Caenorhabditis elegans: one gene and its partners. The protein of the gene in region 1 interacts with the protein of each later gene in a pairwise test. Each region holds a gene or a part of one and is shown in the gene's direction. Other genes may lie near its edges.

Evidence for each region.
Region 2: the proteins of W03G1.5 (region 1) and F08G2.5 interact in a two-hybrid assay, tested with the Caenorhabditis elegans proteins (one large-scale study listed by BioGRID).
Region 3: the proteins of W03G1.5 (region 1) and Y113G7B.15 interact in a two-hybrid assay, tested with the Caenorhabditis elegans proteins (one large-scale study listed by BioGRID).

The regions. Positions count from the first base shown.
Region 1 is NC_003282.8:501,352-511,826, reverse strand, and holds W03G1.5 (PB1 domain-containing protein), read left to right. Parts: upstream 1-5,342; coding exon 5,343-6,758; downstream 6,759-10,475. Other genes in the region: pig-1 (Maternal embryonic leucine zipper kinase), read left to right, coding at 4,680-4,769.
Region 2 is NC_003280.10:13,829,597-13,839,100, reverse strand, and holds F08G2.5 (WW domain-containing protein), read left to right. Parts: upstream 1-5,469; coding exon 5,470-6,006; downstream 6,007-9,504. Other genes in the region: F08G2.7 (uncharacterized protein), read left to right, coding at 379-1,085, 2,263-2,576, 2,634-2,702; ins-37 (INSulin related), read left to right, coding at 3,440-3,599, 3,652-3,989; F08G2.4 (uncharacterized protein), read right to left, coding at 7,984-8,499.
Region 3 is NC_003283.11:20,224,464-20,238,188, reverse strand, and holds Y113G7B.15 (Pept_C1 domain-containing protein), read left to right. Parts: upstream 1-4,345; coding exon 4,346-4,633; intron 4,634-6,196; coding exon 6,197-6,371; intron 6,372-7,296; coding exon 7,297-7,665; intron 7,666-8,966; coding exon 8,967-9,223; 3' UTR 9,224-9,250; downstream 9,251-13,725. Other genes in the region: sld-5 (DNA replication complex GINS protein SLD5), read left to right, coding at 463-749, 1,737-1,897, 2,689-2,915.

The DNA.
Region 1 (10,475 bases):
GAAAAAAAAACTTACCAAGAATCCTGGAGTTTGTTCGGTGGGGAGTGTGTGAGATGTAAGTCCTAGATCTACAATACAGATTTTTCCGCCTTTCTGAAATTAATTTATTTCCGAGCAACTCGAAATTAGCAGAAGTAAACACCTTCGCAATTGGATGCATATCCGGTTTGAACGATTTTCTAGGCAACGATGGACTTGATTGCATTGGCTCATGATTTGGTTGCTCCGGAAGAGCAATTTCCAGATGAGATTCTTCTTGTTGCTCCTCTTCAATCTCAATCGGCTCCTGTACAGGTTGCTCCATAAACTCTTCGTCATCTACGATCGTGATTTGAGCTTTTTGATGTCCAATCTCCTCTTCTTTTACAGGTGCCTGAAAATGACAGAAATATTAAAACTCATAGGAATAGGTTAGCTTTGGGTTCACATTTAATGTTATGTGGCTCCTTCCACTAACCTTAGCATTTCGGCGAGTAATACGGCGAGTCTTCACAACGATTTCCGTAGTTTCCGGTTGCCGTTTTCTTGTCGGCTTTGGAACTAATTTTGGTTTTTCTTCTTTAATGGGCTCGTATTTTGCCACTAGTTTCTCGAGGAATGACATGACTTTTTCTGAAATTGATTTTTAGATCTGTTAATAAAATAAGATTAAATAAGCAGGGTTGAACAGAACAGATTATCACATCAAATAAACACAAATTAATTGAAAGCGGATAAGCATTCATGAAAATATTAAAACAAACAACTTTTAAAAATCTGAAAGAATTCCTCAAGAACATAATGAGAACATTTTTCGAGCAAGGGGTAGAGACAAACATTTGTCAAAGAAGGGGGAGGTGCAGACATTTTTTCGAGCGGGGGGGGGGGACAGACAAAAGACAAACAAATTCAAAGCTATATGTGGTTATCAAAGTCAAGATAGACTGATACGGCGAGAAAATGGAAGAGCCACACAGTTGTTATTTCGCTTCACAACCACTGCATGTCCAACAATGGAATCGGCGGAAACCACGACAACTGTGTTTGTTAACGTGACACGACCTCCGAAACTCGATTTTGAAACTGAATCAACCCAGTTTTGAATATGCATTTGCGGTACATCCTCTTCATATAACTTGTTCGATATGTCAATCAAATGATCATTTGTGTTGCAGTATTTCTTCAAAATAAAACGAAGATCAGTGTTGTTTTCCTTCAACAGCATCCCAATAATCTTTGCAAATCGTACGCGAGCATATTCGATAAACGTAACATTTGAGTCATCTGTCTTTTTGTTGCAATAATTCGAATATCTGATGCCGTCGTGGTATACAACATTAAGGAAAACATCCCCGGTCTCGCAAAACTGTTGGTACTGCGGAGGGGTCGGAACAACCGATATTCGTTTGAGTCGCCTTAATAATCCAAGTTCATAGCACATTTTCAAGTTCGCTTCTGTTCGAAACTGGTGATTTGTGTGTAGACGGAATGCAGCTTCGGTTTTGATCTCTTGAAGAGCCGACATTCTGTAAAAACATTCTTGCTCCCTATTGTGCTCTAATTTTCTCACTTTCTCATGATGCTCATGCCCAGTCCATTGTAAATTTCCGGAACTAAAGTTCTTTGAATAGTGTGATAGAAGTACTCGAACCATTGAGTTGACAATGGAAATAAGCTACCGTACAGCTCAGTCATTCTTGCAAGGTGGTACAACACTTGCTGCAAAATAGTAATGGGTGTTAGTTGACGACAATTTCCATACATGTACTTTGATCCCATTCAACATTTCCGGTGCTCGTTTCACAATTAAAACTTCGATGGATTTGCTGATTTGTTCAATCTGTAAAGAATGGTCTACTTTTTTCAAGCAAAAACAATAAAAACTAACTTTCAAATGAAGAGTCTCGTCAGTGATTGATTGGGGTTCTATGCAAAGACGATAAAGTCCATGAATGCTGAGAATGATAGCCGATGATACACCTCCAAGTTCACCGGAAAATGCAGCTGCTACAACTATCGACTCGAAAATCTAAATGTGTGTTCACTTTGCAGAAATTAGCTGAACGAATCTTTTTACCAGTGCTTTCTCAGAACCAGTACACTGTGAAGCTTTGCCGGACAACGAACGAAATCGAGATGGAAGCGAAGGTGTTGATGAAAAATCCACCGATTTTGACGGGAACAAATTCCATTTCCCTTTGGAGAATAATGCTGAAAAATGAACACGTTTCGGGAGCATTCGGGCATTACTAGTGACCTGTATTGATATTGCTTAAAATTCCTTCTTCAAAACAATGAAACAAGTCAACCGGGCATAGATGCATATACAAAACATGCTTGTGGAAATGAGAATGCTGGTTTCTTTGACGAAGGCCATCGTTCATAGTCGAAGGGCACGATCCGGTGAGATTTTCGCGTACTATAAAGAGGTGATTATTTTTTTAATAATAGTTTTCATGATGCTTACGTGTTGTATACTCATCATTGATTTTGCACTCAGTTTCCTGGTTTAAGCAAAAGTTGCAAGAACCTGATGATCGGAGTCCACACTGATTGTATACGATTCGTCGTGCCTGAAACCAAACACTTGTTTTCAAAATTCTGAATTTTCATCTCACTGGATCGTCATGATTGGCACACGTGAGATCCGCTTTCCAGGCCACTCCCTCTGAGAAGAAGACATGTTCGTCCATTTGGAGCAGAATCCATTGTGTAAGTCTATCATGAATTTTCGTTGTCGGATTTTTGAACCCGATGAATAACGCTGCTAAAATGAGGGCCTGGGGAGAAGCTCGATGAACGTCTTCGAGATCCAAATTGAGTAAACTATATGGCCAAATGTTCTGACTGAAAACCAATTAAAATTTTTAGAGCCATCAAACTAAGATACTTACTTTCCATTTTTATGTACTTTGATTCCGTCGAAGCTACTCTCGAAGTGCATCCACATTTCATTATCTGCCATTTCGCTGAGTAGCTTTTTTTTAAAGATACCCTTATTTATTGGACTGGAGCTATTATATCCTTCCAAAATAGTTGTTTTAGTCTTCATCATGATATTCGCAAAACTATTCAATATAACTTCGAGCCATTTCTTGAGATCTCCGAAAATTAGTTGGCATTTCTCTTGCATATCTTCACATTTGCATCTGTAATGATATATTTCAGAAATTTAGTTTTATAATAAACCTACAGTTCGATATTCTGCGCACATAAATTACATACTTCTACAAGTGTTAGATGAGAGTCATTCAGTAGCAATTTTCTGAGAATGCTATCTTGTGAAACATTGTGAAAATGTAGATATCTCAAAATGGCTGCTTTCGAGTTGGTAGTAGTGATGAGGAAAAAAGTTGTTCTCAGATTTTGATCGCTCAGAGAACGACACAGTTGACTTCGCTCGTCGCATAGAGAAGAATCGCGTTGAGTGTCCAAATAAAATGACTCATCGGTTTCAGCTTCTTGATCGATCTCGTAATTTCCCACTTCATCGACCGGATAACGAATTTCCCCGTCTTCATCAATGAATCCTGTTGTTTCTTCGTCTTCGAGTTCATCTTCTACACCATCTTCCTTTTGTCGTTCTTCATCTGCAGTTGTTTCCGTCTCGAAGTTATCGGCCTGGGTGCTTGAATTTGATGGACCATTGCTTCCCGGCTGGTGAGAACCATGATTATTGTCCGTCGGGTCTGAAAGTAGTTATTTAGTCCCAATAAAATCATTTAAAAAATTTACCTAGAGCAACTATTGTCACGCTTTGAATCAGAAGACTCCGGGGTGCTGAATTCAAAATTCTTCGAACTGTTGTTCTTGGATTTCTGGCCATAATCCTCCGTTTCTAGCCGGGAATGATACAAATCTTTGAAAAACACACTGGAATTAACAATTAACACATATTGATAACATATCACACAAAAAATACAATAAAAAAGGTCAAAAAAATGAAATATGTGAAATACGACGAAGAAAAAACAAAATAAAATCAATAATCAATGTTCTGCTAGTTAGCAGTGGGTTTCTGCTAATTAGCAGTGCTTTTTAGCTAATTAGCAATGACCTGCTAATTAGCAGTGGTTCTCTGCTGATAAACTATGGCTTTACTAGCTTTTGCTGATTAGAAGTGATTTTCTGTCGCTCTGCCGTGACTCCAGTTTATCTGAGTTTAAAAAAACATTTTTAAAAATTGTCTAATTTTGAAACGTTATTTTGAAAAACTTGATATTTTGGTAATTAATGATGAATTCGCGATTTTATCAGTAAATGCGTAAATATACGGCAAAAAAATAATCTAAAAACTGTGAAAAGCTCGGCAAAAAGTAGGGTTGATTCCAAAAGAAAACATTTTTTTTCCGAAAGAAATTAAAACATTTTTTGCCAAAAACACGAAAAAGCTTTGTGTAATTTTAAAAATTGTGTAATTTTGAAACGTTATTTTGAAAAACTTAATATTTTGGAAAATTGTACACCTTCTCATAATTTTTTAAAAGTTGAATTTTAGTGATTTTCAGCAAAAAAAAAACGGAAAAATTGTATTTTTTGCCAAAAAAACCAGAAAACACAGAATACACAAACTAAAAAATGTATGTGCGATTTTCAAAAACTGAAAACATGCCAGAAAAACAAAAATAGCCAAAAAATCCATTTTTACCCAATAAAAATTCCCATTACCTGACCCAAAAAATAATCCATTAAAATTTCAGGTCGGAATCCGCAGAAAGCGTCTGAAAGGTGACGCGTTCATGTACAAGAAGGTGTGCGAGAAGATTCTTCAAATGGCGAAAATCGAATAATTCCTATTATAAATATTCTTGTTTTCCTTTTTCTTAAATTTTCCCCCTAATTTTCGCCCAAATTCTCGTCTTCCTGGGTTTTTGTGTGTGTGTGTAGAATATCAATCCCGTTATCATTATTCTTATTATTATTATTCTTATTTTCTATTGTTCCAAGTTGTTTTCGAAACTGTTTTTTTCGAATTTTTCCCAATCGTGTAATATTTTTTGAATATTCCTCTCTCCTCTCTACTAATCCCTCGAATTTAAGTTTTTGTTTCGTATGCTCTTCTTATCCAATGATACCCCGCCTTTTTTTGGTATGAATGATCAAGATCTCTTTCAAAAGTTGTTTTCCCGCCAGCCACAAATAATCCTTTCCCCCCCCCCCCCAAAAAAAAACACGTGCTTTCTCCACTACACTAGTGAGGTTGCGCAAGTGTTCAGCGCCAAAAACTCTAACTCGTATTTGCTCTAGCCGTCTTACTCTCACAGTGACTCCACCCATTTTGCCGCTGATCTCACGAAAAACAAGTGGCCGAGTATAAAAAGCGAGAGCGGATGCAGTTATTTTGTCATATTGAGTCGCTACTGATGGCTCACGGACATCATCATCACCACCGCCGCGAGCGCCCGGGGCGCGAAGTTTATTTCAAACTTACTGCTAAAGATTCGAAACAGGCTCATCTATTCTCTATCAAGTATGAGAAGGTCGCCGGATTGCTCGAGAAGCTCAAGAAGAAGCTCGCCGAGTTCAAGGTCGACTTTGCCAACATTTTCTGGATCGATCGGGAGAAGGATCAGATTTTCCTGCAGACAGCCGAGGATCTGAAGGAGGCGATCAAGTTCTCGAGGTTTGTGGTGAAGCTGTACGCTGAGGGAACTGGTGAGAAGGATCTGAAGGGTCTGAAGAAGGATCTGAAGAGCGAAGACGATGAGGATGATCGTCGCAGCAGCAGCTCCTCATTCTCGAAGGTGTCTCATGGAAGATCGGAATCCGAGTCGTCTTCGTCAGGATCGGAAAGCAGCGATGACGAAAATGATCGCAAGAAGAAAGGTGAGCGTTCTGGAAGTTCCTCTTCTTCTTCTGGATCTTCCCGATCTCCATCTCGTGGAAGACGTGGAGGACGTGGTGGCCGCTCAGGATCCAGCTCGTCATCATCATCTTCTGAATCACGATCTCCCGGAAGACATGAGGAGCCCGAGAAGCAAGGAAAGAAAGAAGAGTTGAAGCAGCTGAAGAAGCAAAAGTCCGAAGGTGTTGAGCATCGTGGAAGATCGGGGTCACCGGGAGGACGTCGTGGACACGGTGGACGCCATGGATCCCGTTCTGGATCTCCAGGAGGTCGTCATGGTCATGGAGGCCACGGAGGACATGGATCACGCTCCGGATCTCCAGGTGGTCGTCATGGTCACGGAGGCTCAGGGCATCATCGTGGAGGTCGTCATGGAGGCCACGGAAGGCATGGATCGTGCTCCGGATCTCCACGAGGTCGTCATGGTCATGGAGGCCACGGAGGACATGGATCACGCTCCGGATCTCCAGGTGGTCGTCATGGTCACGGAGGCTCAGGGCATCATCGTGGAGGTCGTCATGGAGGCCACGGAAGGCATGGATCCCGCTCCGGATCTCCAGGAGGTCGTCATGGTCACGGAGGACGCCACGGCCCACCACATTGTCCAGGACGCCATGGAAGACATGGATCCCGTTCCCACTCTCCTAGAGGACACGGGCACGGAGGACGTCACGGGCCACCACACTGCCCAGGGCGTCATGGACACCACGGACCACCACACCATCATCACCATGATGGACGTTCTCCATCTCGTCACGGCCACCACCACCATCATCATCATGGATGCCGTCCATTCCCACCGCATCATGGACATCATCACTTTCCACCATTCTGGCCACCATGCCCACCACCACCACCATTCTGGCCTCCACATCGTCGTGGCGGTCACTGCCATCACCATCATCATAATGGACATCGTTCGTTCTCCCCATAAACTCTTAATTCTGATGCTTATTATACTGTGCATAATGTATATTTATTTGTGATCAATAAAGTTGTAAATAAATAAATAAAAAAATCGTGTTATGTTTTTTGTTTTTTTTTCAGATTTTCAGGTGAAATAAAAAAAAGAGAACATTGATTCTTCCAGGAAGGCAATTGCCTAGGCAACTGAACAAACATGAGTTCCTTTCCGTCTGTTTTTTTCCAATTTCCACCAGACTCCTAGGCTTCCCCAAAAGGCCAACTGATCGCTTCCAAAAGGCGAAGACATCTCGACCACTTTCTGTTGATCGACGAACAATTTGAGAGAGAGAGAGAGAGAGAGAGAGGAATTGACACAATGAGTGTGTAGTTTGCTTTTGTTTGAGACACGCAGAGTTTGTAGTATTCGGTGTGGTTTATGCTTTAGAGGTTGCAAAATATGAAATCGGAGTAATGGAAAATTGAAATATGACGAATTGACTAAAGTGAAGTTGGATGTTGGTTGCTATTTATTAGTAACAAATTTCGATATGAAGATGTTAATTTAGTGGCAGTGTTATATAAATTTCAGTCTACTTCGTAGGTTCAAAATTGTTTGCATGTGTACCTAGCAGACAAACATCGGTCAAACGTACTTGTAATAATGCTGTAATACTGGTGTTCCAAGGCTTTTTTCGACAGAAAAAATGTTTTCTGAAAATGTTCGAAACCATTAAAAAATTGAAAAAGGACACTTTTTAGTGTTCGGAAATCAATTTTGAGTCTTCTAACAACAAAATTAACCATTTTAGAGGAGTTTCAAAATTGTGAATTTTAACAACATAAATAGCCCAATTTTGGTACCTTTTAATAGTTTTTGATGGGTTAAACCAAGATTTTCTGAATTCAGCATACCTGAATTACCAGTTTTCAACAAATTTAGACAACTTTTTATTTATTTTTTCCTTTTTTTTTTCAGCCATCCTTTTTTTTGGTCAAAAATTGTTTTTCTGAAACTCTTCGAAACCAATATTCTGAAAAAGAACAATTTTTAGTGTTGTTGAGTGAATTTTTAGGGAATTTTGTAGAAAAAAACTGAAAAAAACTTTTAAACAAATTTGACCGTGGTAGAGTTGAACTGTAATTTGGATGCTAACTCAAAAACGAAATGATTTTTAAAAACTATGCATATGAAAATTTAAAGCCGAAGTTTCTCAATCTACTAATATTGTTAAACTTACCATCATTTTTATCAGATTTTTATGGTGCAGTAAAACATTTGTAACAAGCTTTTGAACATCGGACTTCTATTCCAATTACTTGTTTGAGCTTCGATTTTTCTAGCTTTGTTTACCCGTTGCATAATCTGTGCTCATGTTATATGAGATACATATACATGTTACTACTCGGCAGTTTGCTACTCCTGGCGCGCGCACGTTTCGCAGCGGGCGCGCCGACGGAGCGCGCTAGTAATAATGTCTCGAACGCCCGGCGCACTCTCTGCGCGCGCCCCGCGCATTTGATACAAATTTTGTCACGGCTCGTTCCCCATCCCTTCATTATTTTATCAAATACATTGGCAATGTGGAATACTGAGTATATTTAGATTTAACTTTATTATAGTGAAAAGCTTTAAAAATTTAAAAACTTCAAAATTAAAAATTTTTCCGTTGTGCAGCAAGTTCTCTTCTTCCTTTGTTGGAGTTCCTGAAGTTCTTTTGATGGATCTGAAAAATAAAAAAGTTAATTTCACTCATTGAAACATTTTTCATGTTCATTTGAAAAAGAAAAAAAAAACTTACAGGAATCAGGGAAATTAAACAACTCCGAAAATCTTCTTTTCAGAGGCCCCTCGTGCATAGGCCGTGCGGAGGTGGTGAATCCAATTCATCTCCATACCTTTGCTGCTTTTCTGAAAATATCAAATTATGTTTATAAATAATTGCTATGTATAAAAGAGGTCAAAGACCTGGTTGTTATCAAATTATTACTCATTTCGAGGAAATCGTTTTTATAATCTTACCGATGAACTAATTCGTTTAAATCCTCTGAAGATGTGATTCGTCTCAGCATTTATGCACTTTCTGCAAATTTTTTCATTATTATTTAATTGAAATTTAATAAAAAATAAAGAAAATGTGTAAAGTCGAAAAAAAAACTGAAAAAACACAGCTTGAAAAATTTGGCAGAGTTGAAATCTCGGCCGCGGCCGCGATCTGCGGAGGATGCGCGCACGGATCACGCACGGGGCGCGTACAGAGCGTGGACGATCCGCGCACAGAGCGTCGACGATGTGAGGATTATGTTTTTTCTACGTGAATTTGAGGATTGGGAAGTTAAAACAACTATAAAGTGCCTATATACCGATACTTTCTATATACGGATCAATATATACACAAACATATCACCATACGTTTCCTATTAATTGTGTCCCATTTGACAACTGCAACCTCAAGCCAATAAATGTTCCATTTTGAACGATTACACATTCATACTCTTGATTACATAGTTATTAGTATATAAAGTTCAGAAAAAAGCACGTTTATTTTATTTTCTGGTTCCTGCTTCGTTCTTGCCAGACTCAATTCGCATTCAGTGCGCATACGATGCGCGCCTCGAGCGCGCCCTTTGCGCTTCAGGTGCGCGCGCCAGACGGACTCCCTTATTATCGCGCGCCAGGCGCAAAACGTGCGCGCCCCAGGAGTAGCGAACTGCCGAGTAGAATAGATCTCCAAGGCAACTTTGCTTTGGTATGTGTGATAAATTATTTTCAGCTATAGAAAAACTATTGTTTATGAACATCTGAACCAGGGGTGTGCGGCAAATCTCAAAATTTGCCGAGCTCGGCAAATTCGGCAAATCTATTTTTCCAATATTTGCCGAGCACGGCAAATTCGGCAAATTTGCCGAGCTCGGCAAATTCGGCAAATTCGGCAAATTTGCCGTGCTTAACAAACTCGGAAAAATTATATATTTTTTGATATTTTTTGGAGCACCAAAACTACTGAATTCTTAACACACCTCTGGTTTCTGAACAAGTTAGGTGTAGTGTGTCTGCTTAAACATCAAAATAACTCAATTTGTTGTCATTTTACTAAACTTTTGGCGAAAAAATCAACAGTTTTAGTCAAAATTGTACTGTCAAATTTTTGACGTGTGCGGCAAATTTCGAAATTTGCCGAGCTCGGCAAATTCGGCAAATCTACTTTTTTGAAATTTGCCGTGCTCGGCAAATTCGGCAAATTTGCCGAGCTCGGCAAACGGCAAATTCGGCAAATTTGCCGCACACCCCTGATCTGAACGTTTGAACTTGTGATAAGTAGTTGTTAGAGGATAGGCAATTTATATTATACTCACTATGCTAGACTATACCAGGTTACTATGCATGTATTTAACAATGACTAATAGTTATCTTATGCCTAGCTTTACTTCAACTTCCTGATAACTTTTAGAAGTCTTGGATGGTTATCCGAGTCGTGTTTTGTAGGAATTTTTTGAAACTAATGTTTTGGAACTATGAAGTCAATCGTCAAAAATAAACATATAGTAAATTTGTTTATGCTTGCAGTTGGACCAGAAAAAACTTGGTTTTGATTATATTGTTTTGCAACTCAGGAAAAAAGAAAACCTCATCTGATATGGACCGAAAACTTCGAAAAAAACTTTCAGGAGACTGCTGAATTTAGTATGTCTGGTTTACTTTATACTCTCTTACAGTCTGAAAAAATATGGAACTTAACAGAATGCT
Region 2 (9,504 bases), on another chromosome or scaffold:
ATGTGGCCTAGAAAATAAGAAAACTCGGCCACCAATTTTTGTCGGCGTCCATACAGAAAATTTGATCAATTTTGAATCGAAAAAGCATCTTGGTATTCATTATAAATTGGTTTTAGCTACGTGGCCTAAAAAAGTAAAAGGTCCATTATAGTCAAAACTTGCCTCGTGGCCTAGAAAAATGAAAACTCGGCCACCAATTTTTTTCGATAGTTATTGAATTTAGAGTTTGGCAACTACAATTCAAGGGTATAAGGAAGAAGCCTATCGTATGCTGAATTTTCTTACGTGGCCTAGAAACCTGGAAACCAGGAAAACTAGGCCACCGATACATTTTAGATTCGGCCATGTATCAAAAAATCCTTAATCTCAAATTTGCAGATATATCGAGGAAGAAGCCCCAAGCAGCAGCCGCTCCTTCAACGTCGACTCATTCCGCCGCGAGCCACGAGATCAACGCCGGCGGAGCAGCAACATGGTGCAATCCACCTCGAAAATGACGTCATCAAGCTCTTCCCGAGCAGCGCCCAGGTATCAACAGTGGGAGACGTCAGAGTACGGAAGTGAGAACACGTCGCCGATCGGCTATCACCGGCACTATCAGCATCGGCGGCACCATCCGGAAGAGGAGGAGGACGAGGAGGAGGATGAAGAGGAGGTCTATAAGAAATCGATGAGATATCAGGATTTGAAGAAGAAAATTCGAGCTCACTACGAGGAGAGACTGTTTAATTATGAGAGAACGCAGAGAAACGACCATCGGCAGATTAAAGAGCTCGAGAAGGAGAAGGATGACCTCGTGAAAATGTTGTTACAGTCGAATGCGAAGCTGGATAAGGAGAAGAAGAAAACCGAGTATTTTAAGCGGAAATGGCAAGAAGCTGAGCATAAAATCCCGTTTGGAAATCCCATAATGCCCCAGTTCGGATTCCCACCGGCCACTCCACAATTCCCGCAGATGTTCCAGTTTCAGCCGAATTCTGGGGGCTCCGCGCAGAGGTACTCTTTCATGGGGGCACCTATGCATCCGATTTCCTCTTCGAACACTCCAACAACGTCTGGAATGGATACGACTCATGGGGGAGCTGGTGAGTTTGAATTTTTTGCTGAAATTTTCTGAGGGCCTGCCGCCTGCCTGAAACCTGCCCGCCAAACGCCTGTCTTTCGCTTCTTTTTTGAATTTTTACTTTTTTTTAAAATGAAAATCTAATTAAGCAATTTTTAAAAAAAGTTCACATATGTTTTAGCATAAGGCACGGATTGAGGCGAGAGGCAGGCGGAGGTCGCCTTATGGTCAGGCAGGCAGGCAGGTATTTAACGCCTACTGGCAATACTAGATGGTGCAGCGAAAAATTGAAGAAAAAACAATTTTAGTTTTGAAAAATAGAATTTTGTCTGAATTTTTTTTGCTCTAAAAATGCCAAAATTTGGCTGAAAATTTCGCTAAAAATGTCACAATCCGGATGACAATTTTGCTCAAAAATGTCAAATTTTGGTTGGAAGTTGCGCTCAAAATGATAAAACTTGACTGAAAATTTGCTTAAAATTGCCAAAATTTGACAGAAAATGTTTGCCAAAAATATCAAAATTTGGCTAAACTTTTTGCCAAAAATGTCAAAATTTGGTTGTAAAATTTGCTCAAAAAATGCCGAAATTTGACAGAAAATTGTGCTCAAAAAATGTCAAAATTTGGCCTAAATTTAGGCCAAATACTTTAAAGTTAAAATTTGGCTGGAAATTTTTCTCCAAATCGACGATTTTTCAGATAATTTTCACGTGTAGCTCCGGTTAAAAGTTAAACATTAAAATCTTCCCTAACAAATTTTGCTCAAAAATGTCAACATTTGACTGAAAACATGGCTCAAAAATGTCGAAATTTGGATGGAAATTGTGCTCAAGAATATCAAAATTTGGTTGAAAATTTTGCAATTGCGCTCCAAAAATGTCAAAATTAGGCTTAAAATATTGCCCAAAAATACCAAAAATTGGCTCAAAATATTGCTCCAAATCGACGTTTTTTCTAAAAAATTTCACGTGTAGCTCCGGTTAAAATTTGAAATTTCAATTTTCCCTAACAATGATGCTCAAAAATGTCAAATTTTGCATGAGAGTATTGCTCAAAAACGGCAAAATTTGGCTTAAAATTTTGCTCCAAATCGACGATTTTTCTGAGAATTTTGCTCAAAACTTTTGAAATTTGGCTAGAACTTTTGCTAAAAATGTCGAAATGTTTGCACTTTTTTCTTCAATTTTCCCATTTTCCAGGCGAATCCCTAGTCCCAGCAAGTGACGTCAGCTACCTGGCTCCACTTGTTCCGGCTCCGCCAACCCTTCCACTTCTAGAACTCAATACATCTCAAGGCCCATCAACTTCTGGAATTTCACAGCAAAATCCACAACAATCGAGCTCAAGCTTCTTCCATGATGATGATGAAGATCAGGATGAGACGAAGAACTTCCGTGATGAGGAAATCGAGTCTCCAAGGTGTCATGGCTCGACGAGCACACTGAAAAATGATGAAGAAGCTGCTGAGCTCTCGGATTTCCTGAGTAAATCCAATTTGACAACTCTTGAAGAGGTGAGTTTTGGTGGAAATTTAAAATTTTCCGCTTGAAACAATTATAATTACTTTCAGGGCAAGGACTCCGGCTTCAGCACGACTCCAGACGACGCCAAAGAGCCCGAAAAAGTTGCAGCTAATTAATAACGTTTCCCCAACAGTTTCTCCCCCCGATTACACGTGTAAAAATCCTATGGACTTTCGAAATTATTCACTTCACCGAGTTCTAATATTTAATTTATTGATTTTTCTTTGAACTTTTCATATTTTAATTAATTTATTATATAAAGATTTTTAATTAATTCAAAGACATACCTAATTGTCTTTCTTTTCTAGGCCACGAAACAAAGAGTGCTCCACGCGCACCCACGAGTTGTCGGTACACAGCTCCCCACTACCCCTACCCTCTCCTCCATTCAGTATCGCTTCTTCGGCTTATTAGCTAAGATCAAAGTGTAGTATCTGTTCTTATCGTATTAACCTACGGTATACACTCGAATGAGTGTAATAAAGGTTATATGATTTTTGGAACCTAGGGAAGACTCGGGGCTTGCTCCGACTTCCCAAGGGTCGTCCTGGCGTTGCACTGCTGCCGGGCTCGGCCCAGTCCCCGAGGGGACAAAATAAGCTTGCAGAATAGTGAAAAATCAATTTTCAAAAAATAAAGTATAGTTGTTAAATAGACATTCAATTTTAACTTGGCCTTTAAAAACTATAAGAAAAGTCACTCAACTTATTCCCAAATTGACACTCCACGTAAAAGACGTGACCCATAGGTCATAATTGTAAGCATTTCCCTCCCCCCCCCCCACTCAAAATCGAAAACAAAATAAGAATCATACCTCAACTCTCATCCCGAACCGGATAGACGATTGAACACCATGGCTGCTTTCCTGCCAATTGCCTTGAGCATTGCTATGCTCACCGTGCTCACCAATGCCAATCCAATTCACCCGGTCCCAAATGCGGCCTTCCTTCCCTATCGTTCCTGTGGATCCCATCTTGTTCATCGCGCTTTTGAAGCTTGCAGTGGGAAGAAAGGTATGTTATTATATCATTCTTAGCAGGTTAAAACCGAATCATCGCTTTTCAGATCGCAGCAGTGATGTGGATCTTTGGAAGATGTGCTGCAAGGACGAGTGTACCGATCTGGACATCAAGGAGTCTCTGTGCAAGTACGCTTCGCAAGGATATGGAGTAAAGTTTGAGGAGGAAGCCGAAGAAATCGATATGGTCAGCTTTGCGGCGGAGGGTTTTAAAAAGAGCTGTGGACATGATATTGTTGTGAAGACAGTCAATGTACCGACGAAAATATCATTGAAGCAATGTGCCCGAACAAGGGGGTGGCGCCGGCGGCGGCCTAGAAGAATCCCGGACAAGTTCAATCGAGTGCAAAACTATGCCTGTATTAATTGTGTAAAAATAAAGTAATGTATGTATAATATATGTGGATTTGAATTACTAGCGCAAAATTTTAACTGATTTCACAACTATTGCAAGTGCGCTCCATTGAAACGCCACTTATCAACACACCGTCGTCCACTTAACAGACCGTTGGTATATATACTCTGTTGATAGAAGGTTTTTTATCAGGCATAGGTCCGGAGTCGGTGGGTTATCTGAAGAAACCACCCCATCGGCAACAACTTGACTTCCTGTTTTGCATTGTTGGAATTTGGTGGGCAAGTTGATTAGAAAGAAACGTTTAATTTTAGTTAGGCATTTTTCAATTAAATTCGAAAAATAATAAAAATTACAGAAACAAAATAAGATTTCGTATATATAGGCTTGAAATGCAGATTTTTTAAAATAGATTTTTTCAAATCATTAGTCAATTTTTTACCCAAAAAATTACACCTTACATAAAGTTGTTTGACACAGTCTCCTAATTATCGAATTGCGGTGGAGCGCATTTTGTACACTACTAGAGACCCAGAGAAACCCACCACCATTCCTCGAGAAACGTCCACCGCTTGCATTGCCTCTAGTATATATACTTCCTCCTCCCCAACAGTTTTCGAATTCCTGCGGTCCGGATCGTATGGGTTATCAATTCTCAACCACCCCATACGAACTAACTTGACTACCGGAATTTTGCAATTTTTGATAAAAATTACTTGTTTTTGTAGTATGCAAATTAAATATAAAATTTATTATTATTTGTATTTTTTTAAAAATAAATTCGTGTGTCAATAATGAGTTTCTATTTTTGAAACTTTAAAGCACGACAAAGATGGGTCCTGCTGCGCAAAATACAATTTTAGGACGTTTTTTATATAAATTTATAGCATAAATTTTACTATAGAGATATAAGAGCTATGAATTCAAAAATGTTCTCCTTCTAGAGTTATGTAATTGCCCCAGTTTTGCCGGAAATTTCAATTCCGGCAATTTTACGATTTACCGGAAATTTCAATTCCGTCAATTTGCCGGTATGCCACAACTCCAATTCCGGCAATTTGATGATTTGTCGGAAATTTTAAATTTTGTCACTTTGCCGGTATGCCGAAAATGTCCAATTCCGGTAACTTTCAAGTTTGCCGGAAAATTTCAATTCCGCAATTTGCCGATTTGCCGGAAATTTTCAATTCCGGCAATTTTCCGATTTGCCGGAAAAAAAATTTGCAAAAAAATTTGCAAATTCCTTACTTTTTGACCTCTGAAAATTGCGGGAAACATAGACTTCTATGTACTTCCAGAAATGTTCTGTGTGACCCCAATTTTCGGAGATCAAACGGCAAGGAGTTCTCCTCAAATTTGGCAATACTACACACATATCGTCATCAATATTTGCCCACCTTATCAAAGTCATGACTAATTTCGAAACTCTTCGAAATAATTCGAAACTATTCGTCAACAAAACCCACCTATAAAACCAGCACCTCTCACCTTGAAGAGCATCTCATTTACAATGAGAAAGCTCAGCACTCGTCCACTTCCTCTTGGAGACGGATTCTTCGACTCGTCATCTGATAGTTCAGAATCTGAACTTTCAGATAAGGACGATGAAGATAGATATTCCGACTCCACGGTTTCCACGTTAACTTCTCAAGATCGTAGAGACACCCAAGGGTGTCAATATCCACGTTCTTCGGAACTTCCGATCTCTGAATCTCCAGCTCCACGAGCTCGACGAGCTCGTAAACAGAGATCGAAGAGAAAGTCGGTGAAACCTCCGAACACTTCGTCTGACGACTCTTCTGATGACTCTGATGATTCTTCCTCGTCCTCTTCTTCCGATGACTCGGTGAGTTCTAAATCATCAACCAATTCCAGTGACTCCTCGCCATGCCGTTGTCGAGATGGGCTTGCCGAGTGGGAGCAGCGTCATGGGAGACGATGGCATCCGTATGGAAGAAATGGAACGTGGGAACCATACCGCAATCGTCGTCGCGGGATCTATGATTGTGAGAACTCGCCGAGAGAAACTTATTCGAATGGAGCTTGAATTTTTAAATGTAAATATTTGTTTTTAGTTTAATTGTATTCTATTTCATTTTTGGTATCCTATATCTTGGTTTAAATAAGTGATATCGAAAAGTGTTCAACTACAAAATTATTGAAAAAGGCATCAGCAATATTTTGTTTGTTGGTAGTTTTTCGATAAATCTTAAAACAACCGGGATATGACCATTTAAGTGTGTTGTCTATTTATTGTTGTGTAAAAATAAATAATTTGTATTTTTCGAATTTGTGTTTTGTTCTTTATTATTAAATTAAAAAACCAAATAATAAGAAAGAGGTCATATAAAACTGTTGCCGGAATTAAAATTTCCGGCAAATCGGAAAATTGCGGGAATTGAAACTTCCGACAAATTGGAAAATTGCCTGAATTGAAATTTCTGGCAAATCGGCAAAATTGCCGGAGGATTGAAATTTCCGACTAATCAGAAAATTGCCGGAATTGAAATTTCCGGAAAATCGGTGAACCGGCAAAATTGAAAATTTCTGACAAATCGCCAAATTGCCGGAATTGAAATTTCCGGAAAATCGGTGAACCGGCAAAATTGAAAATTTCTGGCAAATCGCCAAATTGCCGGAATTGAAATTTCCGATAAATCAGCAAATTGCCGGAATTGAAGTTTCCGGAAAATCGGTAAACCGGCAAAATTGAAAATTTCTGACAAATCGCCAAATTGCCGGAATTGAAGTTTCCGGAAAATCGGTGAACCGGCAAAATTGAAAATTTCTGGCAAATCGCCAAATTGCCGGAATTGAAGTTTCCGATAAATCAGCAAATTGCCGGAATTGAAATTTCCGGAAAATCGGTAAACCGGCAAAATTGAAAGTTTCTGGTAGTTCGCCAAATTGCCGGAATTGAAATTTCCGGAAAATAGGCAAGTTGCCGGAATTGAAGTTACTGATAAATCAGCAAATTGCCGGAATTGAAATTTCCGATAAATCAGCAAATTGCCGGAATTGAAATTTCCGGAAAATCAGCGAATTGCCAGAATTGAAATTTCCGGAAAATAGGCAAGTTGCCGGAATTGAAATTTCTGATAAATCAGCAAATTGCCGGAATTGAAATTTCCGGAAAATAGGCAAGTTGCCGGAATTGAAATTTCTGATGAATCAGCAAATTGCCGGAATTGAAATTTCTGGCAAGTCGGTAAACCGGCAAATTGCCGATTTGCCGGAAAAACGGAAATTGTCGAAAATTTTCGGCAATTTGTGGTTTTGCACATTTTTTTAAATTTCAGAACTTCAATTTCAGCCGGCAAAATTTTACGCATCCTGTAAATGTTCCTACACCTTTTTTAAAAAGTAAGAAAAAAAAACGGGAAAAAAATTTCAAAAAAGCACAGTTTTCAGTGTTTCCGTCTTATAAAAAAGCCCTCTAAAAACTTCCGGCAAATTGATATCCGGCAAACGGCAAATCGGCGATTTGCCGGAAGTTATCATTTCGGGCAAATCGGCAAACCGACAATTTGTCGACTTGCCGAATTTGTCGAAAAAAATTTTTCCGCACTGCAATTTGCTGTAGGCTCCAAATTTTTAATTTTTTATCGGTTACAGTTTACCTGAATATATTTAAAGATAGAAATATATGTTACAGTGTTCAATATTCTATTCGATTTCGGTTGTGATTTGCTTCAGTTATGCAAAACAGAGGTGTGCGGCAAATTTGACAAATTTGCCGCACTGTCATTGCGCAAAGATGTATAACTCAAACACTATGATAGTTTGTAAAATATTTTCAACTAACAATATGTTGCGATTACGTTGTCTAGACTTTTGATATCAGAATTACATAACTCTGTTCCGAAATAAATACAGCAGCTGACATCCGACGGGTCTGTATTTGACTTGAACTTATGTACTACAAAGTGACCAGAAAAATTTATAGGTTTTGGACAATATGTAAAAAATAAGTATAAAAATATGTATAAAGCAAATCTTCTTAAAATATGAATTACTAGCAATATCAGTGAAACTCAAAAACTCCATTCTTCTTCTTTTCCACATCATTCCATGTCGGCTTCTCCTTCTTCTCAAAATTCTTCCTCAAATCCTTCAATGGATCATCCGGCTGATATGCTGGTGGTGGATCATTCCGCAGATCCCTCTTTGTGCACTTTTCCGCTAGTCTGATACGGGATAGGGCGCTTTCTTGTTTCCTGACCAGTGAATCCAGGTCGTCTTCGATCCACTTTCTCTTCTTCGGATCCATATTCCAGTCGGTCAGCTTTTTCCGAAGCTCCAGAATCTTCTCGCTAGCCTTCTCATATTCCTGTCGGTGCTTTTGCAGGTCCTTGTGAGCCATTTGACGGTGAAAATCGTACGTGGATTCCATTGAGACTATGTGATCGAGAGCTTCACAGTGTGGATAGGAGCTGCTCGTACTTTGAATATCCTGATCTTCCCGTGACAATTCGATTCGTTCCTCTAGTTTCATCTCGAGGTTGTTGAAGTCTGGCGGATCCTTGTGGTTGTCTGGCATTGTCTGAAACATGCTTGATTTGAAAATTGAAATTCTGAGCTTTTTTGAGCAAAACTAAACTGAGAAAGTAAGCAGAAACCAAAGGAAAAGCCCCCTTGAAAAATGAGCATTTCTCGAAAAATGTCGGCTGCAGGTTATTATCTAATTACCTTGTATAAGGCACGCCCTACCGCACAACTTGACTGGAGTCTTTTTGCATTATTTTTCCAAAATTACACCTTCCTTAACATATAATTGCGGTAGAGCTCGATTGCTGCGAAAATTTTTTTAAACTAACATTTTTTAAAGTTTTGTACCAATTGTATGTAAATTAGGCAAAAACTGACTATTTTCTCTTTTATAAAAGCATAACCAAGTATTGAAATTTAAAAAAAGTTAAGCAAAAATCAATAATATGTCTAGAAAATAAGCTTCAAAAATTTGGAATTTTTTGCATTGAAAACTAAAAAATCGATAAAAAACTGTCTTGAAAGAAGTTATATACACGTTTTCCTAACGGAAGGAGGAAAGCAGCTAATGAGTAAAATGTTTGTGGAAGTGATTAACACACTAGTTTTCTATATTTTTTTTGAAAAAAGGAACAGGTTGGCATTGACAGCTGAATAAATACTCTATTGACAATTGCGTCAGAGAGAACTAAAAAATATATAAAGAAGTATTTCGAAATCTGAAAATAACACTAAAAGTTTAATTTGAATTTGAAAGTATTAGAAACAAGTAATAATAATATCATATGACAAAATTAAATGTACCCAGCAGCAAAACTTGAGAGATAAGGAGACTGAGAAGAGACGGAGGTGTGCAAAAGAAGGGTGAGTCACGAAATAGTGAGAGGGTTAGAGAAACAGATAGGTCAGGGAACATGACATATTTCAGTATATTTGTAGTTTACTCGTTTTGAATTTAATATTTGAATTTTTCAATAATTCATTAGGTATGTACTGAGATTAATTGAATTTAAAACTGGAGAGCAAAGGCGCAGATGTTGAAGTTCAATGTCTGCGC
Region 3 (13,725 bases), on another chromosome or scaffold:
AAAATATATTTCCAGAGTTTCCATTTCCCAAAAAATACTAAATTTTGATAGAAAAACTGAGAAAAAAATTCCAAAAAAATTTGAAAAAATATTTTTTTTTGCCAAAAAACAAGGAGAAATCAAATTTTTCGAATAAATTAAAAATTTCCATTAAAAAACTATTTTTCCCATAAAAACTAAATAAAAATATATATAAATGTGAATTTTCCTGAAAAAAATCAAAATTTTTCAATTTTAGCACAAAAAAAAATTATTTTTCCAAAAAAATAATAAAAAAATTTTTTCAAAAATTAATTTTCACCTAAAAATGATGAATTTCTTCAAAAAAAAACATTTTTCCCAAAAAAATTTTTTTTTTCAATTTTGGCACTAAAAATATTATTTTTCCCAAAAAAAATTTTTTCAACTAAAAAAAAATTTAAATTAAAAAAATATATTTCCCCAGAATTTCCAAAAAAAAAAATGGCCGTCACCGACTCTGCAACAACCTTTTTGGATTTTGACGACGACGAATACGATGAGATGACTACACCGGAAGAAGTGCTCCGAAAAATGACAGCCACGTGGCAAAATGAGCTGTGTGCTCCGTGCCTTCTCCCAACTCAAATGGAACTTGTCGAAATCCTACTTGATCAGATTCAGGGAATGGAGGAAAATATTGGAAAACAAACGGATAAAATGCAGCTGAGAATCTCAGTTCATCGAGTCGAGCTTCAACGCATTGGGTTTATTACGTCGGATTATGTTAGGTGTGCGGCGGGAAAATGAGCCCCGAAAATGGAGAAAAGTAGCGAAAAACCACGAAAAATACGAAATTTCACGAAAAATAGTGAAAAAACGGAGAAAAATGGGAATTTTCGCTGAAAATTAGTTTAAAAACCGTCCAAAATGGAGAAAATCATGAAATACTGGAAATTTTCACTGAAAATTAATTAAAAAACGGAGAAAAATGGGAATTTTCACGGAAAATTAGTTAAAAAAACGGAGAAAAACGCGAATTCTCACGGAAAAATGGTCGAAAACCACGAAAAATGCAAAAATTCACTGAAAATTGATTAAAAATCGGCGAAAAATGCGATTTTTTGCAGAAAATTGATAAAAAATCACGAAAAATGCATTTTTTCGCTGAAAATTGATTAAAAATCGTCTAAATGGAGAAAATCATGAAATATTGCAAATTTTCACTGAAAATTAGTTAAAAATCGAGAAAACTTCACATTTAGAGTGACAATTAGCCGAAAATTCACGAAAAATGCGAATTTTCACGAAAAAATAGTGAAAAATCGGCGAAAAATGCGAATTTTAACTGAAAATTAATCAAAAATCGGCGAAAAATGCGAAATTTTGCTGAGAAAGTATCAAAAAATCGGAAAAACTTGGAAATTCAGCCGAAAATTAATCAAAAATCGAAAAAAAGCTATATTCTGCAGAAAAATTTGCAAAAATTGTCTAAAAATTTGTACAAAAATCGATTTTTTATGGAAAAAAAAATTGAAAAGCAGCGCAAATTTCGACGTTTTGGCGCTTTTTTGCCGAAAAAAAGGGCGAAAAATGAAAAAAATGGACCAAAAATTCATTAGCAGCGCCCAAAACTTGTAGTTTGTAGTGCCTGAAATTCAAAAACACGCTAAAATCCTCAATTTTCATCGAATTTTGCCCATTTTTTCACGAAAATTTCCAAAAAATTCCCAAATTTTCGTAGATTCTCACTAATTTTCTCGAACAATTTTCTGCAGATGCCGCCTCCAAAAAATCGAATCAAATCCACACGACGCAATCGATCAACACAAAAAACGAAAAGAAGAGGGAAAAAGTGATCTACTATCGGAATCTGAGATGAAATTCGCCGAAGAATATGCTCTAGCGGAGTCGAACCTTTTTCAGAAAACTGTCCTGGGTACGGCGGATGGATTTTTGGTTGAAAATTGCGATTTTTTATTGAAAAAATCGTAAAAATTGGCCAATTTTTCACTAGAAGCCTAATTTTTTTCTAATTTGAAAATTTTTTTGAAAATTCATGTATTTTTTTGTTACAATTTTGAAAAAAAAAATGTCAAAAAATTTTTTTTTTGATTTTTTGAATTTTGAAAGTTTTCCTTTCGAAACTTCAAATTTTTCTCTCAAAATTTGAATTTTTTTTGAATTTTTATTTATTTTGACCTAAAAAAAATTTTTTTTTTTGAATTTTCAAAAAAAAACAATTTTTTTGGTAAAATTGACCATAAAAATTCACAAATTTTAAGAAATTTTCAAATTTTAAAATTAATTTCAAAAAAATCGATTTTTTTTGGAATTTTCAAAAAAAAAATTTCCTTGGAAAAATTAAAATTTTGCAATTTGTTTTTTTTGTGGAAAATCAATAAAAATCTTATTTTTTGCATTTCAAAAGTTTCATTTTTAAGTTAAAAAAAAATTAAATTTAAAATTTTCGCTAAAATTTTAGAAAATTACCTCAAAAATTCAGAAAAATTTGCGTAAAAGCTCAGAAAATCTGGAAAATTTCGATTTTTTTTGCAGTTTTTTTTTCTCTCAAAAACTGCAAAATTTCGCTTAATGCCACGTGGCAATTTTTACAATTTTTTTTTCAAAATTTCAAAAAAAAAAAATTTCAAAATTCCCAAAAAAAAACTTTTTTTTTCAAAATTTCAAAAAAAAAAAAATTTCCCAAAAACTCTCAATTTTCTTCAGAATTCATGCCAGCAGCGCTTAAAAAGATGCCAGTTCCACGTGGCGATCATGATGACGTCATGGTTTACGCAAAAGTGACGTCAGATGACGTGGGCAACGTTGCGATTCCGGATTGGCAGGATTTGAATGGAGAAGTGATTTTGGAAATGGAACCGGAATCGTGTCATTTGATTCCGTTCGAATCGGTACATCAATTGGTTGAAGATGGAAATATTCAACTGATGTGAAGAAGAATTTTTTGATAATTTTTTCGGATTTTTTTGGAATTTTCATCATTTTTACCCCTAAAATCGTAAATTTAATCCATTTTTTTGTAATTTTCCCGAATTTTTCATCATTTTTTACCCCTGAAACCCCCTTTTTTTTTTTTTACATATGTCTACTTTAATTTGTCACTTTTTGCCAATTTTCTGTCAAAAAATGAGCATTTTCACTGAAATTTTGCGGTGATTTTTCGCCTGTTTTCTCCTCTTTGAATCTCAATTTTTCACTTTAAAATTATCAAATTTTGCTCAAAAACCTCATTATTCCATTTTTATGTTCCCCCAAAAAACTGGATTTTCACTTCAAAAATCGGGTTTTTTTCTCTTAAATTTTCATTTATTTTAGCTTTTTTAAACATAAAAACGAAGCTTACTCCATGTTTTTTCCTGAAAATAGACAAAAAAATTTGGTTTGATATAAATTTTCGATTTTTGAGCCAAAAAGTGAATAATTTAAAGTTTTTCTGCTCATAACATTGTTCAGCATGACCATAGCGCAAAACTGGTGAAATTTTTGGAACTTTCGTAAAATTTCAGGCTTAAAACACCTAAATTACGCGAATTTTGGAGCAGTTTGAAAACTTGGTCAAGTGGCTCAGGCGGGAAGAGAGAAGGCTATGGTTCGGAGGGTAACAGGTTCGAACCCCCGCTAGGGTCAATATTTTTTATATGTTTGAATTAGTATAGCCTAGTTGGTTTTGAGCAATTGCGAAGGGGAGGAAGGGTTTAAGGGAATTTTTTGAAAAAAATCGATAAAATGTGTTTTCTTTTGGTTTTTTGCCAATTTCTTGAAGTTTTCAGCGATTTTAGCATAAATTTCCAAATTCTGCAGAAAATTTAGACATTTTTTGACACCCATATTAACTTTTCAACTTTTTTTTTCGAATTTTGAGCCAAGAAATTGATCGATTTAAAGTTTTTTACTCATAACTCTGTTCAACATGAACGTAGATCAAAACTAGTTAAATTTCTGGAATTATCGTGAAATTCTGAGCCTAAAACAACTAAATTACGCGAATTTTGGAGCAGTTTGAAAACTGGGTCAAAGTGGCTCAGGCGGGAAGAGGTATGGTTATGTGCGGAGGGTCATAGGTTCGAACCCCCGCTAGGGTCAATATTTTTTTAATGTTTGAATTAGTATAGCTAAGTTGGTTTAGAACAATTGCGAAGGGTTTTGAGGGAATTAAAAAAAAAAAAAAACATTTTTTTTTAAATTTTTAGATTAAAAATTTTTTTTTTTTTGGAGAACTAAACTTTCAGGGCTCAGAGTAACACTGAAACAAGAACAATTTTTTTTCATATTTTATCATTTTATGTTACCTGTTACCTTGAACATGTTGATCGGCGTGATTCCACCTATAAAAACCAGCGAAAACCCCGTAAAAACCTGAAAAATGTTACTTTTCATAATTTCCCCCTTATTCCTACTCTCTCTATGCCAACCTACAGTAACCCAACACTCTCAGGAGGTACTGTCACATTTTAACAATTTCACGATGCACCATAAGAAACACTACCGTACCCCGGCGGAGAAAGACCGCCGGTTGGCTCATTTCGCGAAAAATCATCAGAAAATCCAGGAACTTAATGCGAAAGCAAGGAGAGAAGGACGAAATGTGACTTTTGGGTGGAATAAGTTTGCTGATAAGAATCGACAGGAGTTGAGCGCCAGAAATTCAAAGGTTGGGGAGTTTTTTCAAAAAGCGCACAAAATTCTGCGCAAGATGGTTTTTGATTGGTTGAAAAATATTGATTTTAAACCGAGTTATGGCGTTTTGAAGGTGGTGGCCTAGAAACCGGAAATTTAGAAAATTTAGGTCACCAGTATTAAATAGGTCAAATAGACTCTAAATTTTAGGGAGAGTACATTAGTTTTAGAATCACTGAAAAATATTGATTTTCCGTTGAGTTATGACGGTTTTAAGTTGGTGGCCTAGAAACCCAAAAATCAGAAATTCTAGGCCACCAATATTAAATAGGTCAAATCGATTCCAAATTTTGTGGCAAGTACGTTAGTTTTGGAATCACTGAAAAATATTGATCTTGAGCAAAGTTATGAAGGATTGAAGTTGGTGGCCTAAAAATCCAAAAATCAGAAATTCTAGGCCACCAATTTTAAATAGGCCGAATCTATTCCTAATTTCAAGTCAATCACGGTAGTTTAGGAACCACTGAAAATATTAATTTCGAGCCAAGTTATGAGAGATGGAAGTTGGTGGCCTAGAAACTCAAAAGTTAGAAATTCTAGGCCACCAAATATCAAATAGGTCAAATTGATTTCAAATTTTGAGAAAAGTACGTTAGTTTTGGAGTCACTGAAAAATATTGAGTTTCCGTCGAGTTATGACGGTTTGAGGTTTGTGACCTAGAAACCCAACAGTTAAAAACTCTAGGCCACCAATATTCAGTAGGTCAAATGGACTTCAAATTTTAGGGAGAGTACGATAGTTTTGGAATAGCTGAAAAATATTGATTTTCCGTTGAGTTATGACGGTTTTAAGTTGGTGGCCTAGAAACCCAAAAATCAGAAATTCTAGGCCACCAAATATTAAATAGATCAATTTGATTCCAAATTTTGAGACATATACGTTAGTTTTGGAATCACTGAAAAATATTGATTTTGAGCTGAGTTATGACGTTTTGAAGTTGGTGGCCTAGAAACTCAAATATTAGAAATTCTAGGCCACGAAATATCAAATAGGTCAAATCGATTTCAAATTTTGAGACATATACGTTAGTTTTGGAATCACTGAAAAATATTTATTTTCCGTCGAGTTATGCCGGTTTGAAGTTTGTCGCCTAGAAACCTGAAAAATTCTAGGCCACCAATTTTAAATAAGCCGAATTGATTCCAAAATTCAAGTTGATTAAGTTTGTTTCTGTAAAACTCAAAAATATTGATTTTGAGCCAAGTTACAAGAATTTGAAGCAGGTGGCCTAACTTTTAATTTCTAGGCCACCAACTTCAACCCTCCATAATTCGGCTTTAAATCAATATTTCTGAATTTTACAAAAACCAACTTACGAAATTTGGAATCGATCTGACCTATTTAATTTTTGATGGCCTAGACATCCAAAATTTTGGGTTTCTAGGCCACCAACTTCAAACTTTCATAACTCGGCGGAAAATCAATATTTTTGAAATTTGAAAATTGTATTAGAATGTTCACGGTGCGTTCTTTAAGTTCTAATTATTCTTTTTTTTTAAACGAAAATTAAAAAAAAATAATTTGGAAATTTTCCAGATTCATCCCAAAAACCACACGGATCTTCCAATTTACAAGCCGAGGCATCCACGTGGCAGTCGTAATCATCATAATAAACGCTCAAAACGTCAAAGTGGGGATATTCCGGACTATTTCGACCTCCGTGATATTTATGTCGATGGGAGTCCAGTTGTTGGTCCTGTTAAAGATCAAGGTATGCTTAATTTGAAAAAGCTTAAAATTTGAGTAAACACAGATTTTGATTGGCGAAAAAATATTGATTTTCCGCCGAGTTATGAGGGTTTGAAGTTGGTGGCCTAGAAATGCAGAAATTTTTGGATTTCTAGGCCATCAAAATCAAGTAGGTCAAATTTATTGCAATTTTTTAGACAAATAAATTGGTTTTTGCAAAATTTTATTATGTAGATTTTCCGCCAAGTTATGAATGTTAGAAGTTGGTGGCCTAGAAAAATCATGCTCAGGTTTTCTAGGCCACCAATTATTCGAAAACAATAATAACTTAGACTCAATGTTTTTACAATTTCAGGTTTGAAAACTATAATTTCTAAGCAAAGTTATAGTCGTGGAAGAGTTTTTAAACTTTCTAGGCCACCAACTTGAAACCGTCATAACTCGGCGGAAAATTGATATTTTCGGGTTTTGTTAAAAGCATGTATCTTTCCATAAAGTTTACTATCAAATTAACTTAGTTAATTTTTAATGGCCTAGAAAAACACCAAATTGGATTTCTAGGACCCAACTTCAATCCCATATAACTCGGCGGAAAATTGATATTTTCGAGATCCGTAAAAATAATTTTGTTCACCATGAAATTTACGTTCAATATGACCTACTTAAATTTTGATGGCCTAGAAAACAATCATTTGGATTTCTAGGCCACCAACTTCAAACTCTCATAACTCGCTTCAAAATCGACGTATTTGGAGTTTGTAAAAGCCAATCGGTTTGTAATTTAATTGTTAACTTGAAAAACTCCCCCAAATACCGGTGGCCTCATCTGAAATTCTAGGCCACCAACTTCAAACCTTCATAACTCCCTTCAAAATATTTATTTTTTGGTGTTTCAAAAACTATTTCCATTTTAAATTTTACGCTCTTTTCAACTGATAACTTTTCAGAACAATGCGGTTGCTGCTGGGCGTTCGCCACCACTGCCATCACCGAAGCTGCCAACACCCTCTACTCCAAGTCCTTCACAAGTCTCTCGGACCAGGAAATTTGCGATTGTGCAGATTCAGGAGACACTCCTGGGTGCGTGGGAGGTGATCCAAGGAACGGTCTGAAAATGGTGCATCTACGGGGACAGTCCAGTGACGGTGACTACCCTTACGAGGAATATCGGGCGAATACCACTGGAAATTGCGTGGGCGACGAGAAAAGTACAGTAATCCAGCCGGAAACTTTAAATGTCTATCGATTTGATCAAGATTATGCAGAGGAGGATATTATGGAGAATTTGTATCTCAATCATATCCCTACAGCAGTTTGTAAGTTTTTTTGAAGGGTCTCGCCACGAAAAGTTTTGGGGTACAGTAATCCGGTATGGTTTGGGCCTGAAACATGTGAATCTGGCAAAAATTACGAAAAAAAAATCTTAAAAACTGACTAAATTATGAGGTTTTGAAATTTGAAAATTTTGCGAAAAAATTAGCATTTGGGTCCCACCACGAAACGTCCTGTAGTTCTTTAGTCTGGGATGGCTTGAAGCCCAAATTTTGCAAACTAGTAGAATAAAAGTATGCGCTCCTGTCAAAATAAAAATTATCTGAAAATCTTGAAAACTAGCAAAGATATGTTGCTTTGAAATTTTAAAAATTTTTGCAAAAAATATTTTTTTCAAAATTTTGGTCCCGCCACGAAAAGTCCTGGGGTACTGTAGTCTGAATTGGCTTGAAGCTGAACATTTATAAGCTGACAGTAAAAAATTTTGCACACATTCTGAAATAAAAATAAGTCAGATACCTTAAAAACTGACAAAGTTATAAGGTTTTAAATTTCGGAAAAAATTTGCAAAGAAAATATTTTTTTCTTCAAAATTTTGGTCCCGCCACGAAAAGTCTTGGGTAATGGCTCTGAGCTTTGAATTCTAGTAGAGAAAGAGTATGCGCTCCTGTCAAGTTAAAAATTATCTAAAAATTTTGAAAACTGACAAAGTTATAACGCTTTGAAATTTTAAAAATTTTTGCAATTTTTTTTTTCAAAATTTTGGCCCCGCCACGAAAAGTCCTGTGGTACTGTAGTCTGAGATTGTTTGAAGCTGAAATTTTATAACCTGATAGTAAAAGATTTTGCACACATTTTGAAATTTAACTTAGGTGAATATCTCAAAAACTGGCTAAGTTTTGAAGTATTGAAATTTAAAAAATTTTGCAAAAAAATTTTTTTTTTTGAAAACTTGTGTCCCGCCACGAAAACTCTTGGAGTACTGTAGTCTGAGATGGCTTGAAGTTGAAATTACATAAGCTGGCAGTAAAAAATTTTGCACACATTATGAAATAAAAATTAGGTAAATATCTTAAAAACTGACAAAGTTACGAAATTTTGGAATTTTAAAAATTTTAATTAAAAAATTTTTTTCAAAATTTTGGTTTGACCGCGAAAAGTCCTGTGGTACTGTGGTCTACAATGGCTGAACGCTGAAATTTTTGCAGACTGATAGTGAATCATTTTGCGCACATTTTGAAATAAAGAAAAAGTTAATATCTCAAAAACTGGATAAGTTATAAGATTTTGAAATTAAAAAAAATTCCAAAAAAAAAGTTTCCAAAAAATTTTCAAATTTTTCCAGATTTCCGAGTGGGTGAGAACTTTGAATGGTACACATCAGGAGTACTTCAATCCGAAGATTGTTACCAAATGACACCAGCGGAATGGCATTCCGTAGCAATTGTTGGTTATGGTACATCAGATGACGGTGTCCCGTATTGGTTGGTTAGAAACTCGTGGAATTCCGATTGGGGTCTTCATGGATATGTCAAGATTCGACGTGGTGTTAACTGGTGTCTGATTGAAAGTCATGCGGCTACTGCTATGATTGATAATTAATTGTGTAATGAATGTTTTAAAAAATTAGTTGGTTTAGTGAATTACAACATTTGAGTATACAAAAGTTTTACAAAAGTTTGCCAAACCGGAAACTTAAAAAATAATGAACGATTCGAAAGTTATCACGACAAAATGATTATTTCTTGAGAGAAATTGGCGTTGACTCTCTAATTGGTGTTTCTGCTCCGACAGATCTATCGCTTTTGTCGTCTTGAGCTTTTTCGACGTCATCCTCATTGGTGCCAGCAACCTTTATTCTGAAATTACAGTCGTTAGAGATGACAATGTTAAACTAAAAAAAAACTGAACAGTTGCAAGAAAATCTCGAAACTTTGCCTGTTTATTATTCCTCCAGATAGATAACTAAAAATGTACCTGTGAATAGTGACAATATTCTTCTGTGCAATGTTACATACGCAGCTACATGCCTCTTGTTCAAGAGCCAGATTCCAGTGCATGCCTAGCAAAATGACATGTGTCGCACCATGCAAATTGATTGCCCCTGCTCTCTCTGACAAGAAAACTACGCTGACTGTTCTGTCATTTTTGTCGTTCAGCTTCTTCGCTATTTCTCGACAATCTTTTGCACTGGTCGTTTTCACAATTCTACGGCAACCGATATTTTGTAATTTTGAAATTTGAAATTCGATCACATCAAACACAGGTTTCCACTCACAAACGACAATTTTAAAATTTGAAACTATTAGATGAATTGTCATCGTATCAACAAATGCTAATGCTTACACTTTCTCTTTCTTCATTAAAACTTCCTGTATAATATTAATTGTCTTTGTTATTCTGGCATTTGGATGTTTAATATCGAATATTTCAGGAAATTGGCCAATTTTGGGAAATTGGCCATTTTTGGCCAATTTTGCAACATTTTTCAAGGTTTCCTTGGAAAATGTGTATTCTTCAGTTGCTTTCGTGAATTTTTCCTTTGCAGTCTCGAAAGTCGTCTTGGCACTTTCGAATGCTTGTTTTTCATCATCGGAACAAGCAGTCTCAAAATTTTTCTCTGCCATATTAAATGATTTTTCTTCTTCTTTGAACTTTTCTTCTTCATCCATGAATTTGTCCATAGCTTTTTTAAGAGGTTCTTCTGGTGCCAGATTATGAAAATGAATGCTAGCTTGCTGTAACATAGCCAGCAACTTTAATGATTGTCCTTTTTTACAAAACCTGAAATACAGAAATGATATTAGGTGAAGTGTTTCTTATATTCCAACCTTTTGTGAGCATCCTCTATTATATCGTAAGCCTTCTTTTCGTTTGCAGACAATTCTCCGGTGTTAATTATTGAATTAAAAACCAAGTTGTTTCCGCGGAAAAGCTCCATTGTTGATTCCTTAAGCTTTTTCAAATTTTCCGGGGTTTTTTCAGGACCTTTCACATTTTCTCCAAACGGCTTGTTACCCAAAAACAAAATAAGATTGCAAATATCCCATTCTGAGTTTTGGAATGGTGCGGCGGTAACGCACCAACGATTTTTTGAGGCAAGTGTCGCAATAGCCGTGGATTTTTTGGTATTTGAGTCCCGAATGTTGTGCGCCTCGTCTAGTACGATCCTCGTCCATTTGATATTTTGCAAAACTTGCTTGCTCACTTTTTCACCGGTTTCATCTTTTTCCTTTACCGGAACATTTCTGTACGTAGTAAGTACGACATCATATTTTTGAAGTTCGCTTGCTGAAATATTCTTTCTAGCTTCACTAAATTCATCATCATAGTACAAGTAAACAGACAGCGCGTTTTCTTCTAATCGATCCTTAAACTCGTCGTACCATTGGTAAATTATACGCTTTGGAACAATGATCAAAGTTGGAGATTTCTGTTCGAATTTTTTGTCGTTCGAAGCGCATTTGATCTTTTGGTCCAGAATGAGCGCAATGACAATTGCAGTTTTTCCTTGTCCGTGAGCAAGTCCCAAAATTCCTCCAGATGGCTCCTGTGCCTCTCTATCAATCATCCAATCGCGCGCAGCTTCCTGATGAGGCATTAGACGGAAATCAGCGACAAAACCATTTGGCGTTGCATCCTGACAAGGTTCTTTTTTGATATCCTTCTTATCTTCTAGTGTACACTTGTCAAACTCATCATTCAAATTCTCTCCATTCTCATTGTCGGACATGTTGCTGACCAAGAAAATCTGAAATATTTAGGAATATTTCGAGCACGTATTCCGTAAAAAAAGTCAGTGTTGAAGAAGAGGAGAAGAGTTTTGCAAAAGCTCCGTATAGGAAAATTAACAAAAGTATATAATTGAATGTATTTTTTGAAATGAGGAAGAAACTTTAAAAATAAAACAAAAATTCATGGCAAAATTTATTAGGAAATAACAAGTTCATGTCAGGGGTCCTAAAACAAGAGAAATCAAAAAAATCAGAAAGGGCGCTACGCAGTGTGTGCCCCACTGCCACTATTTCGAAAGAGAATTCAAAAATAAGAAGTATTGTATATAATGAATGATGAAATTCAGAGACAAAAACCGATAAAGAACTAGCGTTAGAAAATACTTTAAAATGTCCTTGTTGTCTGATTATATAGAAAACAGAAAAAGTTAAAGTCGAACAGTATGAAAAAATTGAAAAAAAAAAGAAAACCGAAAACTGAAACCATTGTGAAAATGGAAAACGTGGTTTCTTTTATATGCTGTCGTCCATAAAAATGATGGTTTTTTCTTATTTGTGGGGTGTATTGAGCGATGGCAAGGTGAGAAGAGTTTTATCACGATAGGTATAGAAAGAAATGATTAGAAAGAGAGAACACAACAAGTTCACTTTGACTTTTTTTGAATTTGAATTTATTTAACTTGAAAAGAAAGAAAACCAACAAATCAATAGTGTAACAGAATAATTAAAGGTGGAGTACCGAAATTTGAGACTTTGCTTCTTTTTTTAAATTAAAAATGGTCCAAAACTACCAAATTTCGTAATCGGACGTTCTGAAAATTTATCAAAAAAAAGTCAAAATTTTGGAAAAAATGGTATATGTTTAGCTAAAATCTCAAATGTTGGCAACTTTTCAGTGTCGCTGCAGTTGGGTCTTATTTTAGTTGAGTCTCATCCTTTAATGCACATTTTTAAAGTTTATTACGTGTTATTTCGTTAATTGAGTAAATTTTTTCCAAAACTTTGAGCAGTCATAACTTCTTTTTTTTTTGGAAAATTTTTCAGAACGTCTTATCACGAAATTAGGTAGTTTTGGACCATTTAGGTCAAAAAAAGCAAAGTCTCAAGTTTCCGTACTTCATCTTATAAAAAATTGTGTTAAAAAAATACATGAAACAAGACTAACCCGAGTAAAATAAAAAAAAAGAATGTGAGAGAAAAAAGATTGCATGCAGGTTAATTGAGAAAAAAAAATGCATAATCGGCAATTTAGGGCTTCTTGATTGAGTTATTATCACATTTTTCATCGGAATCAGTTTTTGGGACAAACGTTACCGTTAAACTGTATTTCTTATCATCCACTTTTGTTTGCACATTTCGAAATAAGACAGCAATAATGACGTGTTGTGTTTCCATTTTCAAAATCTGCAAAACGGGCAACATTCGATAGATTTGGAACTGAGAAAATATACGGGTACCCAATTTTTTGTTAAATTCACACAAAGGCACACACATAGAGGAAATCTTGTAAAATTGCAAAGTTATGAAGTTTTGAAAAAAAGCATCGTATTTCCTTTTTTGCCATGAAACGTCTTTTGGTACCGCTATCTGAAATAGTGTTAAGCTGAAACAACCTGATAGTAAAATAATTTTCGCTCATTATGAAAAAAATTGATTGAAAATTGTTGAAAACTGGCGAAGATATAAGATTTTGAAAAAAAAAATTCCCAATTTTTTTCCAGATTTCCGAGTGGGCGAGAACTTTGAATGGTACACATCAGGAGTTCTCCAATCTGAAGATTGTTACCACATGACACCAGCGGAATGGCATTCCGTAGCAATTGTTGGTTATGGTACATCAGATGACGGTGTCCCGTATTGGTTGGTTAGAAACTCGTGGAATTCCGATTGGGGTCTTCATGGATATGTCAAGATTCGACGTGGTGTTGACTGGTGTTTGATTGAGAGTCATGCAGCTACTGCTATGATTGATAATTGATTTTTTTTGGTTTTTTGAAGTTTTTTTTCAAATATATTTTTGGAATTTTTTTTGAAATAAAATTTTTTTTGTATTTTCCGTAGGTGATTGAAAATTTGATAACACCTAGTAAAACTTCATATAAATTGCGGTTTATTATTTTTTAGAACGCTAAAAAATATCAATTTTTCACTGAGTTATGAAGGGTTGAAGTTGGTGGCCTAGGAAATCCATGTTTTGGATTTCTAGGTCACCGAAAATAAGCGGGTCAAAACGATTTTTAATTGCAAAGAGAATTTGCTGCAAAAAACCGAGATTACCTATATAATTTTCCGTGGCCTAGAAATCCAAAACTTCGAATTTCTAGGCCACCAACTTCAAACCCATATAACTTGGTTTAAAATAAAGATTTT